Linked DNA regions of Rhinolophus ferrumequinum. The protein of the gene in region 1 purifies or fractionates together with the protein of each later gene. This does not show direct contact. Links are inferred from orthologs where the notes say so. Each region holds a gene or a part of one and is shown on either strand. Other genes may lie near its edges.

Region 1 (7,925 bases):
TGTTTTGTTGAAAAGAAAAGGGGTTACAGGAAAGAAAGAAAAGAAAAAGAAGCTATTGTTTTCATCCCTAATTTGTAATCTAAGATGCCCCATTGTTTCCTTCTTTCTGACTCAAATCTGTGGGTCGTTAATTATAAAAAGTAACTGGAAGGGGCTCCAACAGGCTACCCATGTGCACGCACAGCAAGTAGAAAAACTCTGTAGAAAGTTTACGGAGTGATTACGTATAATTAATTCCTAGTTATAGTCGGGAACACTGACCATTTTCTGGAGCTAATAAAAGCAGTCACTAACCCTTCCCCCTCGTGAATGCCATTTAATTTCCCAAAGCAGAAAGTGAATCCATCCTGGAGGGTCTTGAAGGAAAAAAAAAGGGGGGGGGGCAGATCAAAAGCTCCAGTGTGTCTGTGTTTGTTCCTTGCAGCTGTGCATCCTCTTTGGGGACTGAGGAGATAGAAGGAAAAAGGGAAACAACCCAGTGTCCCGTTCCTCCCTCTGCAATTTGCAAACGTGGCAGAGAGAGAACCTTCTACCTTGATAGAAAAAAAAAAAGAGAGTGGGGGAGGGGCGATGCCCTAGGAATGGAATGCAGGAAACTCTTCAGCTTGGAGGATCTGCTTTTCCTAAAAGGAACAAAGATGGCAGAAATTTCCAGAAGGCCCGGTCTGAGTCCGGCCACTGCAATTGTCAATCTGTAACCTTTCTCCTCCAAGTCTATTGGTTCAAAATCTGGAAGAGAGGAAGCCCATTGGGCTTGCTCTGTGAGCCAGCACTGCTGTCCCTACCTAGTCCTGCTGCAATGCAGACATTTATTTTTCCCCCTTAGTGAAAACTGGAAAATAATGCGACTTTGAAAGCAATTAACTTTTTACAGACTCATGCTTAGTGGTGGCCACAGTCCCCAAGGAAAAGGGCTAGGTTGGTCCAGGGCTAGGAACCTGCTGGAGCTGCACATCTGAAAACAGATCTTGGCTTTGCAAACCTGTGGGAGCCATTTTAATGCAAGCTTTTAGAGGACAAATGCCTTGCCCTTCAGTTTCCTTCCAGCCCAACAAACACACCATTATGCAAACATTGAAGGCACCAAACCAGGAGTCTTGTGATTAGATATTGCTTCTGAGGAGGCCACAAGAACCTCAATATGTAATTTCCATTTACAGCCAGGAGATAGGAACAAAGAAAATAGCTAAGTGTCTGAACTTACTTGTGTGGGGCACAAGTGTTTTAAGTATATAAAACATCATTAACTGCCTGCCCTTTTACTCTAAGACACTGGCCCTACACAGACTTTTCTCGAATTTGGTACCTTTATCATTATTAAATGAGCCTTTTTCCCATTGGTGCTAAAAGGTGGGTAGATAGTCACTAAAAGAAGAAAAAAAAGATTATTGACTCCATAAAGTTGGCATAACACAGCAACTGCATCTATTTCCAGCATTTACAGTCATGCTGGATTGTTCTCCAGACTGAAATTGATGCAGTGAACTTCTAGGGAAATTCTGAAGCTAACACTAAACAAGAGTCCACTTTTTTTCATTCTTAAGTCCTAACTGCAGCATTAAGAGATCAGGGGAAATGTAAAAAGTGAGAAATAAATCATTAGTAAAGGCAAGCGTGCATACAGACGTGTGTGGGTCTGCCTTGGAAAAAGGCCGAAATCTGTTGTTCAGTGAGTCCTAAATCAAACCAAGTTTGCTGCTGGTGGGTGGGATTTTGCAATCCATGTCAGTATCCCAAAACCTAAGTACTGACACCACCACCCCCACACACCACCACCACCACCACCACCACCACCACCACCACCACAACCACCAGCTCCTGCCCCACCACGGCTTAAGGTTCTGTGATTCTAAGACCAAGCACTTTCTTACATTTCACAAGCAGATCACCTACCCAGAGTTCTAATATCCAAACAAACCCAATTAAAGGTCTCCAGTCAAGTCACAACGAACTGCACATTTCTCCCCTGTCTGAGGGTTAACAGGAAGTGTAATCTTCAATCCTAGCTGCAGGTTCTCAGGAAAAACAGTTGATTCACACAGTCACCTAAAATCAAGACACTATTAAAAAGCCCTTATTTGGTTCCTGCTAAGGAAAAGCCCTCCACGGCTGTAGCCAAGACCCCCTGTTACAAACAGGCCCCAAATGTTCACCAAACTCTTTATACATGGTCACAGAGGAAATGGATCGCTTTACTTACCCAACATGTTCAAGCAACCGTCTCATTTTTCCACAGTTAAGAAGAGAGAACAGGCTGGCAGATTTGGGACTTGATCAAAAAGGAAATTTTTTTAAACAGTTACATGGGATTATTAAAAACACACACAACAACAACACAACAACTGAATAGGGAATGCTGTCATGAGCCACACACATGATTTTATTTCCTCTGCACTCTATCACACAGGAGGGCAGAAGATGATACAATGTAAAAAAAAAAGGGGGGGGAAAGGAAAAAGAAAACAAGGATAAAAGATACATTAGTTCATTGAAAATCATGCAAGAATAGAAAGCTAAGGGATTCAAAGAGTCCTCACAGATTTATTGCAGGATGTTGTCCAACATCCCACCCCCCACGCCCCCCTCAATCCCCATCCCTACTCCAAAAACTTCCTCCAAAGCCTAGAAAACACTTTCAGAAACATTTGCTGGCTGTAGGCTGGCTTGCAGAAGAACATTCTGTAGCAACAGAAGTCAGGAAAAAAGGCTGAACAATGTAGTTTCAAGTGAAGAAACCCTGTTGGGAGAAAAAAGACCATGTAGAGACACCACCACCCACCTAGGCCCCAAGAGCTAGGAGCTCTCCTTAGCACTGCTCTGCTGAGGGCTTGGTTCTGTTTAAAACACACGTCCTCTCTGGTCAGAACTTAGTCCAGCCTTCCCAGAACCTCTTTGGAGAGGAAAACTTGCCTGCTTTGCTGTCTGCCATGAGCTCTCCTTAGAGAGGAGCCTGCTTGCTCACCTTCCATTTTCTTCCCCCAGCAGGCATGTGACACAAGAGAAGACAATAGTGCAGGGGGGGAAACTGCTCAGAGAGAGAGAGAGAGAGAAAGAGAGAGGAGGAAAAAAAAAAAAAAAAACCTTCTTTTTTGGCATACCAGGATCTAGCTTCAAACTATTCCAGAAACACCATGTCCTGGTGGAAGAAAAGGTGTGCCAGGCCCTTGCCAGTTTGCAAAATCAGGCTATGGCTAATGGCTACTTAGCCATGTGACCCAAGAAAGCAAAAAAATTCTCTCTAAACAGTTCCAAGTTAACCTAAGTGCTGTGGGGGTGAGTGTGGCACAGCCAGCCACAGAGAAATCACACTGCTCGCCCACAATTCGGATGTCTCAGAGGGAGGGGGAGAAAAGATGGTTAAAAAGTCGAGCTTACCTCTGTGGATGCATTGTTAACACTGTGTAATGTCAATACTTATAAAACATGGAGGACAGGCTCCTAGTTCTCACAGAAAAAGGGTTTGGCACTTCGGCTTGATGATCTGGCCGCCTAATAAGAGCTCATCCCCGATTGGCTGGCCCGGCAAATCGGAGTGTAAGGCGGCCCGGGATTGGCTGAAACACTTCCTGAGCGATTATCTTTGTGAGGCTCTGGTGAGCAAGAGCCATCCTGTGCATAGAAAAAGACAGGCTAAGCTAGGCCTTTTGCAGCAAGAAAAACTTGGGAAAGGGGCCCCCACACGCACTTCTCCCACACCCTGGCTAGATTTCCCTGTACGGGCAAACCAGTGCAGCCAGCCTGACCTGCCCCAGCAAAGCCTGAGGCCTGGATGCCACTGGGAAGAGAGTTTTTGGGGTGAGCTGAAAGGGCTCACCCTCACCTGCCCCCACAGAAGCGGCTCTCGGCTAGGAGGAAGGCTGGCCCTTTTCTAGAACAATCCAGTCGATGGTCCCCCCCGGAGGGTGGGGGGAGAAACTGAGGAGGGGGAGCGTCAGGAAAAGAGCCAAGGGGGCAGGAGAAAGGAGCTTGGGGCAGGCCTTTCAGGAGTTGGGGGCAAACAGGACAGGCAAGCCCCCCAAAATCGCTAAAGAGCAGCTGTGGCTTCTCCGAGGACAGAGGATTCAGGCTGCTTAGGGGAGGAGGGGAACAGAGTGGTCAAGTTTGCATAGTCATTGTCAAAATGCCTCCTGGAAAAGCAGGCCAGAGAGCCATTTTCCCCGCAGAGAATACATCCTCTCACCCACCCCCTTCAGCCAGTACTCAAAGGAAAACCAAAATGGGTTCCTGCCTCCCTGCCAGGATGCCAGGGGGTGGGGGGGCCCTCTCAGTCCTTACCCTAAGAAAAGCCAAGTGCACTCCTAGCAGGCCACATGCCTAGATCTACAAACTTCCCTTCCCCTCCCGGCCCCCTCCCCCACTGCTGAGGCCTGCTAAACCTGTCAGTTAAACAAAAATCTGACTTCCGTATTAGTCTGCGATGCCTTCAGCTTCCTGCCCATTAACCCTCTCTCGGACTCTGGGCCTGGCTGGGAAAGACTAGGCCCTGAGATCGCAGAAAAGGCCTGTGGAAAAATACCAGCTGCAGCTCTCCCGGCAGATGCAGAAAGAGAGAGAGTGAGCCGCTGTCTCTCGCCTTTGCTTCCCAAGGAGGCGTGTACCTTCTGAATCCAGGGCACAGGCAGTGCCTCTCAGTCTGAGAAGCCATTTAAATCCAGAGGGAGAAAGAAAGATGTCAAACTCAACGAGGAAACAAGAACCCCCATTATTAGTCAGGCCTACACCCACTGCTTAGCCCTTCCTGTCACAATCATGCCTGTATGTATGTACTTGGGGAGCTGGGCCCTCGGTGGGCAGACAAATCTCATGAGCTTTAAAAGGATTCTTGCTTAAATTTATTTCCACAGAGTACTGCTTCTTTTCGTCCCCTAAGGCAGATGGAACAGCTATTTCACACACAGCTCTACACTTGGCAGCCCCCCACACCCCTATCTCTGGCACTGCTCCCCAGTAAAATATTAACTAGTTTTTCAGAACGGCTTATAATTTCACCCATTTCAATAGTATGAGGAGGTCTTTGCCTGTTTCCTCCCGAAAGCTGCCTTTGTAGTTGGTCTGTACCCTGAGAAAGAAAAAGCAAATCCAAAAGGCTCTCCGAATGTCCATAGTTGATTTTTCTTTTTCCTTTTTTTTTTTTTTAAAGACAAGCTGCTTAATTAAGATTTTTTTTAAAACAGCAAGCTGGAACAACAGAAGCTAAATAAACACCATTCTTTAGAGGTTGGAGAAAGCTTCCAGAGGTGAGGCAGCCATATGCCAGGAGGTAAAAAACTATGGCCCAATAAAGTCTTCCCTTCCTCCTAAAATTAGGACCCGTGGGCTTTCTCGTCCCACACCATTCATTCGTTCCCACAAAGAAAACATGGAGCTGATGGCCTGCTCTCCCCCCACCCCACATGGACAACAGATGCCCACCCCCTCTGCATGTACATAAATTCTTCCTGGCTGGGAATCTTCCATCAAACAGGAACAAGCCAGGAATCCACACACACTGTACTGCTGGGGCTGGGCCGGCGCTTTATGAAAAGGGAGGGGACCTTGTTGCTGCTGTATTTTAGGCTGAAGAGGCCAAGATGAAGAGACACCTCCACCTCCACGGCCACAGCACCAGCACTCAGGACAACAGGCCTCACCAGAAGGGAGGGACCGCCTCTTCCTGTGGGTGGAAGCCTGTAGAGGGAGACCAAGTAGGGGACAAGAGGCAAGGCCAGACCTAATCAGACAGGTCTCCCTCCACCACCATCCCATAAGGAATATTGTTTGTCTCCCCAGGTGCTGCTTTTGCGGGAACAGACATGACTGAGTCTGTGACGGAATTTGCGTGCAGCTAACTTCACGACCCAATGAGGAAATGAAATACGCCACGGGTCGCGTGGTGGATTTTAACCCGGGATTAAAACGGGTTGCATAAGCAGCTGCAGCATTCTCCCCCTCCCTCCCGCCCTCTCTCTGATCACTTGATCACTTGAAATGTTTTCTGGGGCAAAGAGCAGGAAGCTGCAAGCTTATTCTGGCAGCTCTGCTCTGTTGGAGGAATGCTGTTGGCATTCGGGTAGGTCTGAGGTTATCTGGAAAACAGAAATTCGGCTGGGGACAGAGACAAAGGTATGGTGGCAGATGGAATCCTGGGAGGAACATGGATCGAAAAGGAAGCCGAGAGCAGGCCCACTACGGGCCACTCCTGGGCTTGATGGAATGTGGCTGATAAGAGGGAATAAAGAAGCCCAACGTTGCTGACCTCAATCTAGAGCTCAAGTCAGTGGCCCTTCTCAAAACTTCCCCCTGCACAGAATAGTCCCACTACTGCATGCTCACCGTGGAACAGGCACTATGCTACATCAGCGCTTTGCACAAGCTGACTTCATCAGGAGATAGGGAGCATTGTTAGAGACCTGGAACTGAGCCCAGAGAGGGGAAGTGAGCTGTCCAAGGTCACACAGCTGGCAAGTGCCAGACACCAGACTTCCAACCCAGTTATGACTCCACATCTTTAAACCCTGTACCTTCACTTGCCTCTAAAGGAGGAAACAAAAGAGAAGCGTGATCTGTGTTTTCCTTTTAGGTGGTCAATTCCTTTGAGAAAGAGCTTTAAGTCCTGAATGATGGAGCTGGGAGAATTTTAAATTAGACTCATTCCAAGGCCCAGAGAAAGCTCCTCTCTCCCTGCAAACCTCCAGCAAGAGGTCGGGGGGAAACTTTCTCTAAAATCAGGTTTTTTTATATTCCTTGAAATCTGTGGTTCTTAACCAGGTTCAAAACCAGGTGGTTTTGCCCCCCAGGGCCTCTGTGGCAGTGTATGGAGAACTTTGGGTTGTCACAATTTGGGGAAAAGGTGCTACTGGCATCTAGTGGGTGGAGACCTGGGAGGTTGCTAAACATCCTACCCTACAGTGCACAGCACAGACACCACACACACAGAGACACACACGACCGCCGCAACAGAGAATTATTTGACCCAAACCGTCCCTTTGTCCCAAGGTAGGGAAACCTTGGCTCAGATGAACAGGAAGAAGAAGAAAAAATCCAACCACTGTGCCTCTCTGGATAGAAAAGCCAGCACAGGCCTAAACAAGCAGGTTCCCTGGTGATATTAATAAGCAATGAGCTAATAATAAAAATAGATTAAAACATGTCTCTCTTAATATTCCCAGGGGACGGAGAAAATTGGGGGACAGAATGAGGCTGAAAGAAGCCCGGCAGAAAGTCACGGTGATAAAGCTGGTCTCCAAGGAGAGGGAGGGCTGGCCCCAGCTCCCTTCCCCAGGCACCTTAACCAGCCGAGGCCTGGCCTCGACGAAATGGCTCTCCACTCCGGTTGGCCTGCAGCCAGGAGAGCAGCAGCGGGCGCGGCCTCGGCAAGCTGCGTCCCGAGATAGCCTGTTCGGCTGCCTATGAAAATAAGCACACTTGGAGTTATCTGCCTGAAGCGAGCAGCAGGCCTCTTGGTCCGTTATGTGAAACGGACAGGATTGAGGCAGGGACGTGTTTTAAATATCTTGTTTTGTTCCTTTTTGGCCAATTGGAACGGAGGCCAACTTCAGGCATGGTGACAGAAGGGCTCACCTTCAGAGCATGCAGTCATGTTCCGGCCACAGACAGGCATGAGGACTCCCTCCCTTGGAGATGTGTCCTAGGGAAGGTCTTTCTTTCTTTCTTTCTTTCTTTTTTTCCACTTCTTTCTAGGAGGGACTGGCAGGATTAGGCAAATGGAGGGCAGTGGGGGATGGTACGTGACCATCAGGCAGATGGGCCCAGTGTGGGTGGGGAGAGATGTAAGAGGTGCAGGAAGAAAATGAAAATCAAAAGGAAGATGATTCAAACCTCTGCTTCCTTGCTCTTTTTACTCCCCAGCAATTACCATTATGGAAAGAAGAACACATATTCATTTGCTCTGTTTGTTTCTCTCTCCCACTAGACCAGTGGCCATA
Region 2 (7,172 bases), on another chromosome or scaffold:
ACAAATTGAAACTAGTTAATTTAGCCTAGCAAATTATTTGGGCCCTATTACTACTGATACTACGCACTCCCAATCTAATTCATGTTATATACCTTCGAGTCACAGAATTCTCTGGTGCAGAAGCTGCTTTACTTGCATCCTCTTTCTTCACAATTAAAAAAAGAAAGATACCATTACTGCTACTTTTATACATAAGTTGACAAAATAGTTGTTTTGGTAATAAAAATGTAAACTTTCGTAATTAAATGTGCAGAGCTTAGCATACTATCACATATTAATAATTAGCATGATGCCTATTCAATTTAATAATCTCTGCAAAATATTTTATTAGTCCTCCCAGCAACCCAAATATTCCAAATATAAGCAACTGCAAATTCCATTCTACAAATGAGCCAAGGAAGAACCATAGACTAAAGACAGTAAACCTAATCATTAATTTCCAAACATTCAGTTATACACCTGTTGTTGGCCATCAAGTAAAGCAGTTGAATGGTCTACAATAAAGTATTAAGTCACAATCACCAGGCTTGAATTATTTCCACTCTACCTATCAATCCTGCATCCTGCCCTTGGGACCAGTGCTTGCTCCCATTCCCTCAACAAAGGCTCATCATAAATGTGTCCAAAAATGGGCAGCTGTACACTTAACTGCTACTTAAGTGTACCTCTTTCTACAGTTCAAGTTTGGTGACAAGAAGTTACAAACAGCTTACTTCATCAGAGCCTATCAGAGTCAACAGCAACTAACAGCTTCAGGAAGAGTCTTAGCACTAGTTACCCCAACCTTTTTATAACTTTCTCTTTTACCCCAAGCTCCAACAAGAACCAATCTTTAAATCTTTGAAACAAGTTTTAAAAATTAACTTACATACCTGGTTATTTACTTTCCAATTTGATGAAGGAATTCAAAGACCAGTGTTTTACAAGTGACCCAAAATATGCATGAAGTATTAAAGAATGAATTATAAGAAACTTTAATAATGTTAAAATGTAATCCCATTTTCCACTCCTCCACGATGGCATAATTTCAAACCAATCTGTATTACACATAAATGGGGTCCTCTCAAAAAATATTTTTAAAACATGGCTGTTACTATTTTGGACTGGCTTCCAAAAAGTCAGATAATTTGGATTTCTTCTGTTAAGATTTTACATTTTTCCGTAAATGATACAGGTGGTTATTTTATTTAAAAAACAGGCATTAAAAGATTCATCCTTGCTAACTGAACTGATATAGTATGGCCGTTTTCAAATTAAAGTCAAATTTATTCTGACTCAGTCCCCTAAGGTCTTTCCACCTAAGATGTTGTAATTTATAATACACCTATAAGTAAGAAACAGCTTCCAAATTTTGTACTGCTTCAGACAAATTAGACAGGACTTTCAGGTCGTGAAGCCTAGCTTTGTTAAATTTTAGAATTCCTTCTCTGGAGAGTAACCTACTAATAACCATTTTACCATATTAATGTCTTTTTGAAATCTGTAGAACAGGCGACTACTCGATTTAGTCTCATTTAGGCTGGCTCAGGAAACAGGATTCAGAGATTTAATGTTACTGTTCCAACTCCAAATTAAAAACACCCCTAAAATTAAAATGACTTTTATTACTTACTATATGTAACGTGAGCTCAAGCTTACCTGATTATTTAGAACTTCTGCACTATTCAAAGTTTTCCTACACCAGGACTGCCACCACCTAGAAACAGTTTTCACAAGCAAGATGCCAATGCTCTCCTAAACCTCCAAAGCAGGGTGGTATTTCCTGATCGAACAAAGAGTAACAAAGAAGTGGGTGGTAACCACCTCTCAGAGGCAAGCCAAGACCCATCGAGTCTGATCAACAAAACAAGCAGAAACAACTCCACCTTTCCCTACCAACGTCGTATTTCCCGCGTAGACTGCCTCAAACTCGAAAACCCTAATTTTTATTGAGGAAGTGAAGCCTTTTCATTTGAATGCTGAGAAAGTGGCGCTCAAAGAACCCGGCGAACAAAGGAGAGGGATGGAGCCCATGCAAAACACCAGTGGGTGTCCTCACCCGGACGTGGGCCACCACCCTCAGTAACTACTTTGCAGCACTGACCCGGATCGAGGGGTCCGGGGTGAGGCTGGAGGCGGAGGACGCAGAAGGCACGAGGACTAGCAGACTCGGGGGGGCTGCGGGAGGTAGAAAGCAGCGCGGATGGGGGTGGGAAGCACAGGGGACTGAAGAGGCGGAGCTCTCGCGGCCGCCGGGCTTTGTGTGGAGCCTGGGCCGGGGTAGATATTTCGACCTGGGGGGAGGGGTCGGGTGCAGGAGGCCGAAGCAGGACACCCCCTAATGTCCTCTCCCAAGAGTGGCGGGAGTGAGAGACGCCAGGGAGGGCGGTCCCCGTCGCTACCACCATGAAGCTGGGGTAGGCCGACGCAGAGGCGGCGGACTGCACTGCTGAAGAGAGGGGCAGGAGGTAAAAGTGGGGCGTCCACCTGGCTACCGCCGCGGAGTCCCCCGGGGCCGCTAGCGGCGGAGGGGCTCCCACTAACAGCGTCGGGTCGGCAACGGGTTAAGATGCGGCCAAACATCGGTCCCTCCTCCTTCCCACCCCTCAGCACTGGCGCCCACTCGCGACGGCGGCCTGAGAGCCCGGCGTGGTTCCAGGCCTGGCGCCCCAGCCCTGCCCGCCCACCCTCCCGCCGGCCCGGCCTCTCACCATCGTAGTAGTAGCAGACTTTCTTCTTGCCGCCTCCCTGACTGTACGCCATGGGCTCCCCGGCCACCGCCGCCTCCGGGCTCCGGCTCCTCCTGCTGCTGCCGCCGCGACTCGGCGGGGAGAAAAAAAGGACTGGGGCGAAGGTGGGGGCTGGCAGTCCCGCGGGGAAGGGCAGGCCGGAGGGAGGAGACAAGGGGGCGCCACGAGGGCTCGGTACCGCCCGGCCGAAGGGCCGAAAGCGCGGAGCAGGGGTGGCAGCGGCGCCAACTCGCGACACTGGGGAGGGGGAGGGGTAAGTCAAACCACCTCCGGACGCGGAGGGGAGGTGGGACGTGTCCACTGTTGTCTTCCGCGGCGGGGAGGAAGGGGCAAAACTAGGGAAAGAACGCTCTTCAGTCTTTGGATAAAAGCCCTTCTGTTGGTGAACAACTTTCAGAGGGTGGTGGAAAATACAGTTGTAAAGTGAAAAAAAAGGGAAGGGTTTCGCTCAAGTAGATAAAAGGAACTTGGAGTGGGGGAACGCTCCCTCCTTCAGATCTTCGCACAGTGGTTGCGCCTATCCTGAGCCTGCGCAGTCGGCGCCTCCCCAACCGAAGCCTTGGCCGCCCAGACCCCTTTCGAGTTGTCTCTTGCCGCTCCCATCCCCCACTGTCGCGAAGCTCCCGCCCTTACCGACCACGTGCTGTAAGCCAGGCGGGGAGAGACCACTTTGGTACCCTTCCGGAATCCACGACCCTCCAGTCTGTCCCCCACGGCCCTTCTGTACTGGGTCACCTCGGTTTTCTTTTTGTTCATTTATTATTTGTGGTTTTTTTTTTTTTGTACCAATAATTGCACTGAGGTTCTGACCTGTTAAGGGAACCTACGTATCACAGACGTCAAGGAGTATAGTGTACTTCCTGGGTTTGAAGGAGCATTTATGGAACTCGCTTATGTGTTAGGCTCGGGTCTAACCATTGCATTTATAATGTATTTAATTGATTCCTATTTATAATAAATAACCTGTTAAGTCATTTGAGACTTGCAACAACGCAGAGACATATTTCTATTCCTTTATACGTACGGATTGAGGAACTTGGTGGTCTCAACTGTTGATGATCTGGGGTTTGAATTCAGTTTTTCTCCCAAATCCACATACTTTAGCTACTCCACTATAGTGCTGCTGGCTGGGCACTGGAAGTCTGAGGCAGAAAGCTAAGAGAAAAGATTGGAAAAGTTATGAATATCTGTGTCCCTGTGTTCAACAAGTCAACATTTATCAAGCAGCTACTCTAAGCCAACCACCTTTCAGATAAGGAGTGGGGGTCTGACAGTCTGCCATGTAAGCACTCTTATCCCAACTATATCATTTACAATTTTCTCCAAATGCACACTCTCTCCAACACCCTCATTAAAAGAAAAAAGGCCTTATTGAAGTGGGAACCATTTGGAGCCACCACCCAAGATACCCCTTTATTTTACTATTTGACTTCAAAATCCCCAACGTGGTCACATTAAAACAGCAGTTTTCCTGGACCTCACCCTGAAGACATTTAGGAAACGAAATCTACCGTAATCCTCCTCCCCTCCCCGCAATTCTGTATTTTAAACAGCACATCGCAGGTAACTGATGCAGTTGGTACCGGAAGCACAGTGTGAGAAACATCAGCTTAGAGGTAGTAGAGTTAATTGCATGGTATTGACTTTTAAAGTTTTGCTATTGTATCAAGTCCCAAATCAGCTTGGTAGATTCTAAGAATAGAATAGGTTAATTTAGTAGAAACTAATGTTCTTCTCAGAATCAACTTAGTGAAGTCTGAAATGAGACTTCACTCAAGAAAGTGAAGAAAGTGAAGCTGAGTCAGGGAGCTGACTTTACTCCTTCCCCCAAGTCTGTTTTCTGTGCCCCTAACATTGTAGTTGTGACTTGTACCCCTCTACTTCAACATTTACCATGTTATAGTTGCCCAAAACTTCTCTTAATGTTCTCATTAGACTAGAGTTTCAGGAGAGGAGGAAACATGTCTGTCTTGCACAGAATTGTATCTCTAGTGTCTATGACTGGGGGCAAGTTACTTAAACTTTTTTTTCTGAATTGCCTTACTTGTAAAATAGGGCAGTATTACTTGGAGAATGGTTTATTTTATACATATTGAATAGTTTAAATAAGAAAATAAATATGGAATAGTTTTAAGAAATAAAGAGCTATGAATATGAGATTATTATGATTACTAATAATAATGGTAGTAATAATTATTGTTTGCATCCACAGCACCTAACCTTTTACTTGTGAGAAGAACCTGGACACATATTTTGATTGGTTGAGGAACTTATTATATTGTTTATTATTTAATAATTTTAAATCAAAAGAAGCATTTTACCATTGGAAGCTGGCATTGGAGGAGTTTAATCCAGTGATAAGAGCAGGCCACAAGCATTATGTCCCTAAACATCTATAATGACCTTTAGGTCATCAAAAGTAGAATCAGTTATTGAACCTATTGACAAGCTCCGAACTTCATTTACCATTTTCAAACTCTTCTCTCTTAAACATTTTTACCATTTAAAAAAAAGGGAGTTTTAGACAATATACAGAAGAAAACAAAGTGATAGCGTGGTCCATTCATAAAATGCATAATTGAGGATTGTCTTTATTCTTAAACTTTTTTTCTTTAGTTCTTGCTCTGTCCATATGAACTTATTTTCCCAACCTTGAAGATGTTTAGTTTTTCTGAGGTTATTCAGTGAAATGATCCGTTAAACATAAATGGATTATTTAGAAATAGGACTATAGTCATGTACCACTTAGCAATGGGGATAGGGTCTGAGACATGAGCCATTAGGCAATTCCGTGGTGTGGGAACATCCTAGCGTACACTTACACAAACCTGGATGGTATGGCCTACCACACACCTAGGCTCCATGGTATAGCCTATTGCTCCTAGGATACAAGCCTGTACAGCATGTTATTGTAGAAAACGACAGGAGATTAAATCAAGCACAAGAGAAATGATGCAATCAAGAGACGCGGTAAACATGAGATGTATGAAAGCTGCTGCCAGCATAACTTGGCATATTGTTTTATAGAAAATTTTTTAATAAGTAGAAAGAGTACACTCTAAAATAATGATTAAAAGTACACAAGTAAACACAAAAACAAGTAACAGTCATTCATCATCATCATTAACAAGGATTAGGGACTAGGTAGTTGTATGTGCTATACTTTGATGTGACTGGCAATGCGGTAGGTGTGTTGACAGCAGCCTCACTACAAACGCATGAGTAATGCATTGCACTACAACATCACTAGGCAATAGGAATTTCTCTGCTCCATATAATCTTACGGGACTACCGTCATATATGTGGTCCTTCGTTGACCAAAACATTGTTATGGGGTGCATGACTGTATTTAGAAACGGATTGTCTCAGCTTACGCGAAAAATTAAACCCTGCTATCAACTGCAGCAGATAGGTCAAGTTTTAGTTGCTATAAAAGAATTATAAGCTTCTTTCTACTCTAAAGAAATTTAGATTTCTTGGTGTTAAGTTCTATTTAGCAATTCCACAAGGCAATACATAATGTAGAGAAGTGTAGTAGCTAACAGTACAGTGTTGTCACAAACTACAACAGCCTTGAGCTGAATTCTGATCTCAGAAGAATTGTGCCTATTTTTGCGCAGTATTTATTACAAGCTGTAACTCCTAAATCTGGATAGTAGCACCAAACTGTGAAGATTCTAGTGCTATTTTAACTGCATTTGTGTAATAAAAATCACCCATTTTCGTTAAAAAATATTTTTGAATCACAGCTCATCTACTAAATTACTCATTTACATTGAACTTTTCAAGTTGCCCTGGTTAGCTTGTTAATTGATAAATGCTTTGCCCGTGACCCTTGTAGTATTACTTTGATTCAATCCATCTCCGTGTACCCACTTTTTAGTAAAATTCTATACGCACACTGTGTCTGGGAAAACTTAACTTACTGGTGTTTCCTAATCATCCTATATATGTATCTTAATACTTCTTTCCTATCTCAATTTTTAAACTTTCCTTACTAAAAAAAATTTTTTAAATTTAGTGATTACTAAATCTAGTAATCACTCCTCTCCACTGAGCACCAGAACTGTGCAAATGGAGGTGGAGTATGTTGGGGCCATCAACAGGAATGCCAAATAACAGGAATGGTGGAACAGGAGGATAGGGAGCATGTTCCTTGAAGACCTCCTTTATATCTGTACCAAACCTGACTGCCCACCTCTGGACTTCTGGTTTTATTCAGGAAACAAACAAACAAACCAAAACAGACAGTACATTTGGTTAAACCACTACAGTCAGGATTTTGTTATATGCAGCTGAATACAATCCTAACTTCTGTAAGATCTGAATTAGAAGTTAGTGGCTTCTGATAATGTTTACTAAGAGACTACAGGTGTCTGTTGGGACACAACTCTCCATGGGTTTCTGAATTTCCTGAGAGCAGAAGTACTTTATGTCTTTTGT

What was found.
Region 2: the proteins of ZMYND8 (region 1) and HDAC2 purify together in Homo sapiens (affinity purification with mass spectrometry; 4 studies listed by BioGRID and IntAct, with this or other methods). This does not show direct contact. The link is inferred for Rhinolophus ferrumequinum from reciprocal best matches to the Homo sapiens genes ZMYND8 and HDAC2.

What each region holds. Positions count from the first base shown.
Region 1 is NC_046306.1:11,178,620-11,186,544, reverse strand, and holds the start of ZMYND8 (protein kinase C-binding protein 1), read right to left. Parts: upstream 3,019-7,925; 5' UTR 2,970-3,018; coding exon of another isoform or gene 2,930-2,969; coding exon 2,911-2,929; intron 2,738-2,910; coding exon 2,602-2,737; intron 2,270-2,601; coding exon 2,201-2,269; intron 1-2,200. UniProt on the Homo sapiens protein: Chromatin reader that recognizes dual histone modifications such as histone H3.1 dimethylated at 'Lys-36' and histone H4 acetylated at 'Lys-16' (H3.1K36me2-H4K16ac) and histone H3 methylated at 'Lys-4' and histone H4 acetylated at 'Lys-14' (H3K4me1-H3K14ac).
Region 2 is NC_046286.1:65,450,327-65,457,498, forward strand, and holds the start of HDAC2 (histone deacetylase 2), read right to left. Parts: upstream 3,027-7,172; 5' UTR 2,743-3,026; coding exon 2,691-2,742; intron 1-2,690. UniProt on the Homo sapiens protein: Histone deacetylase that catalyzes the deacetylation of lysine residues on the N-terminal part of the core histones (H2A, H2B, H3 and H4).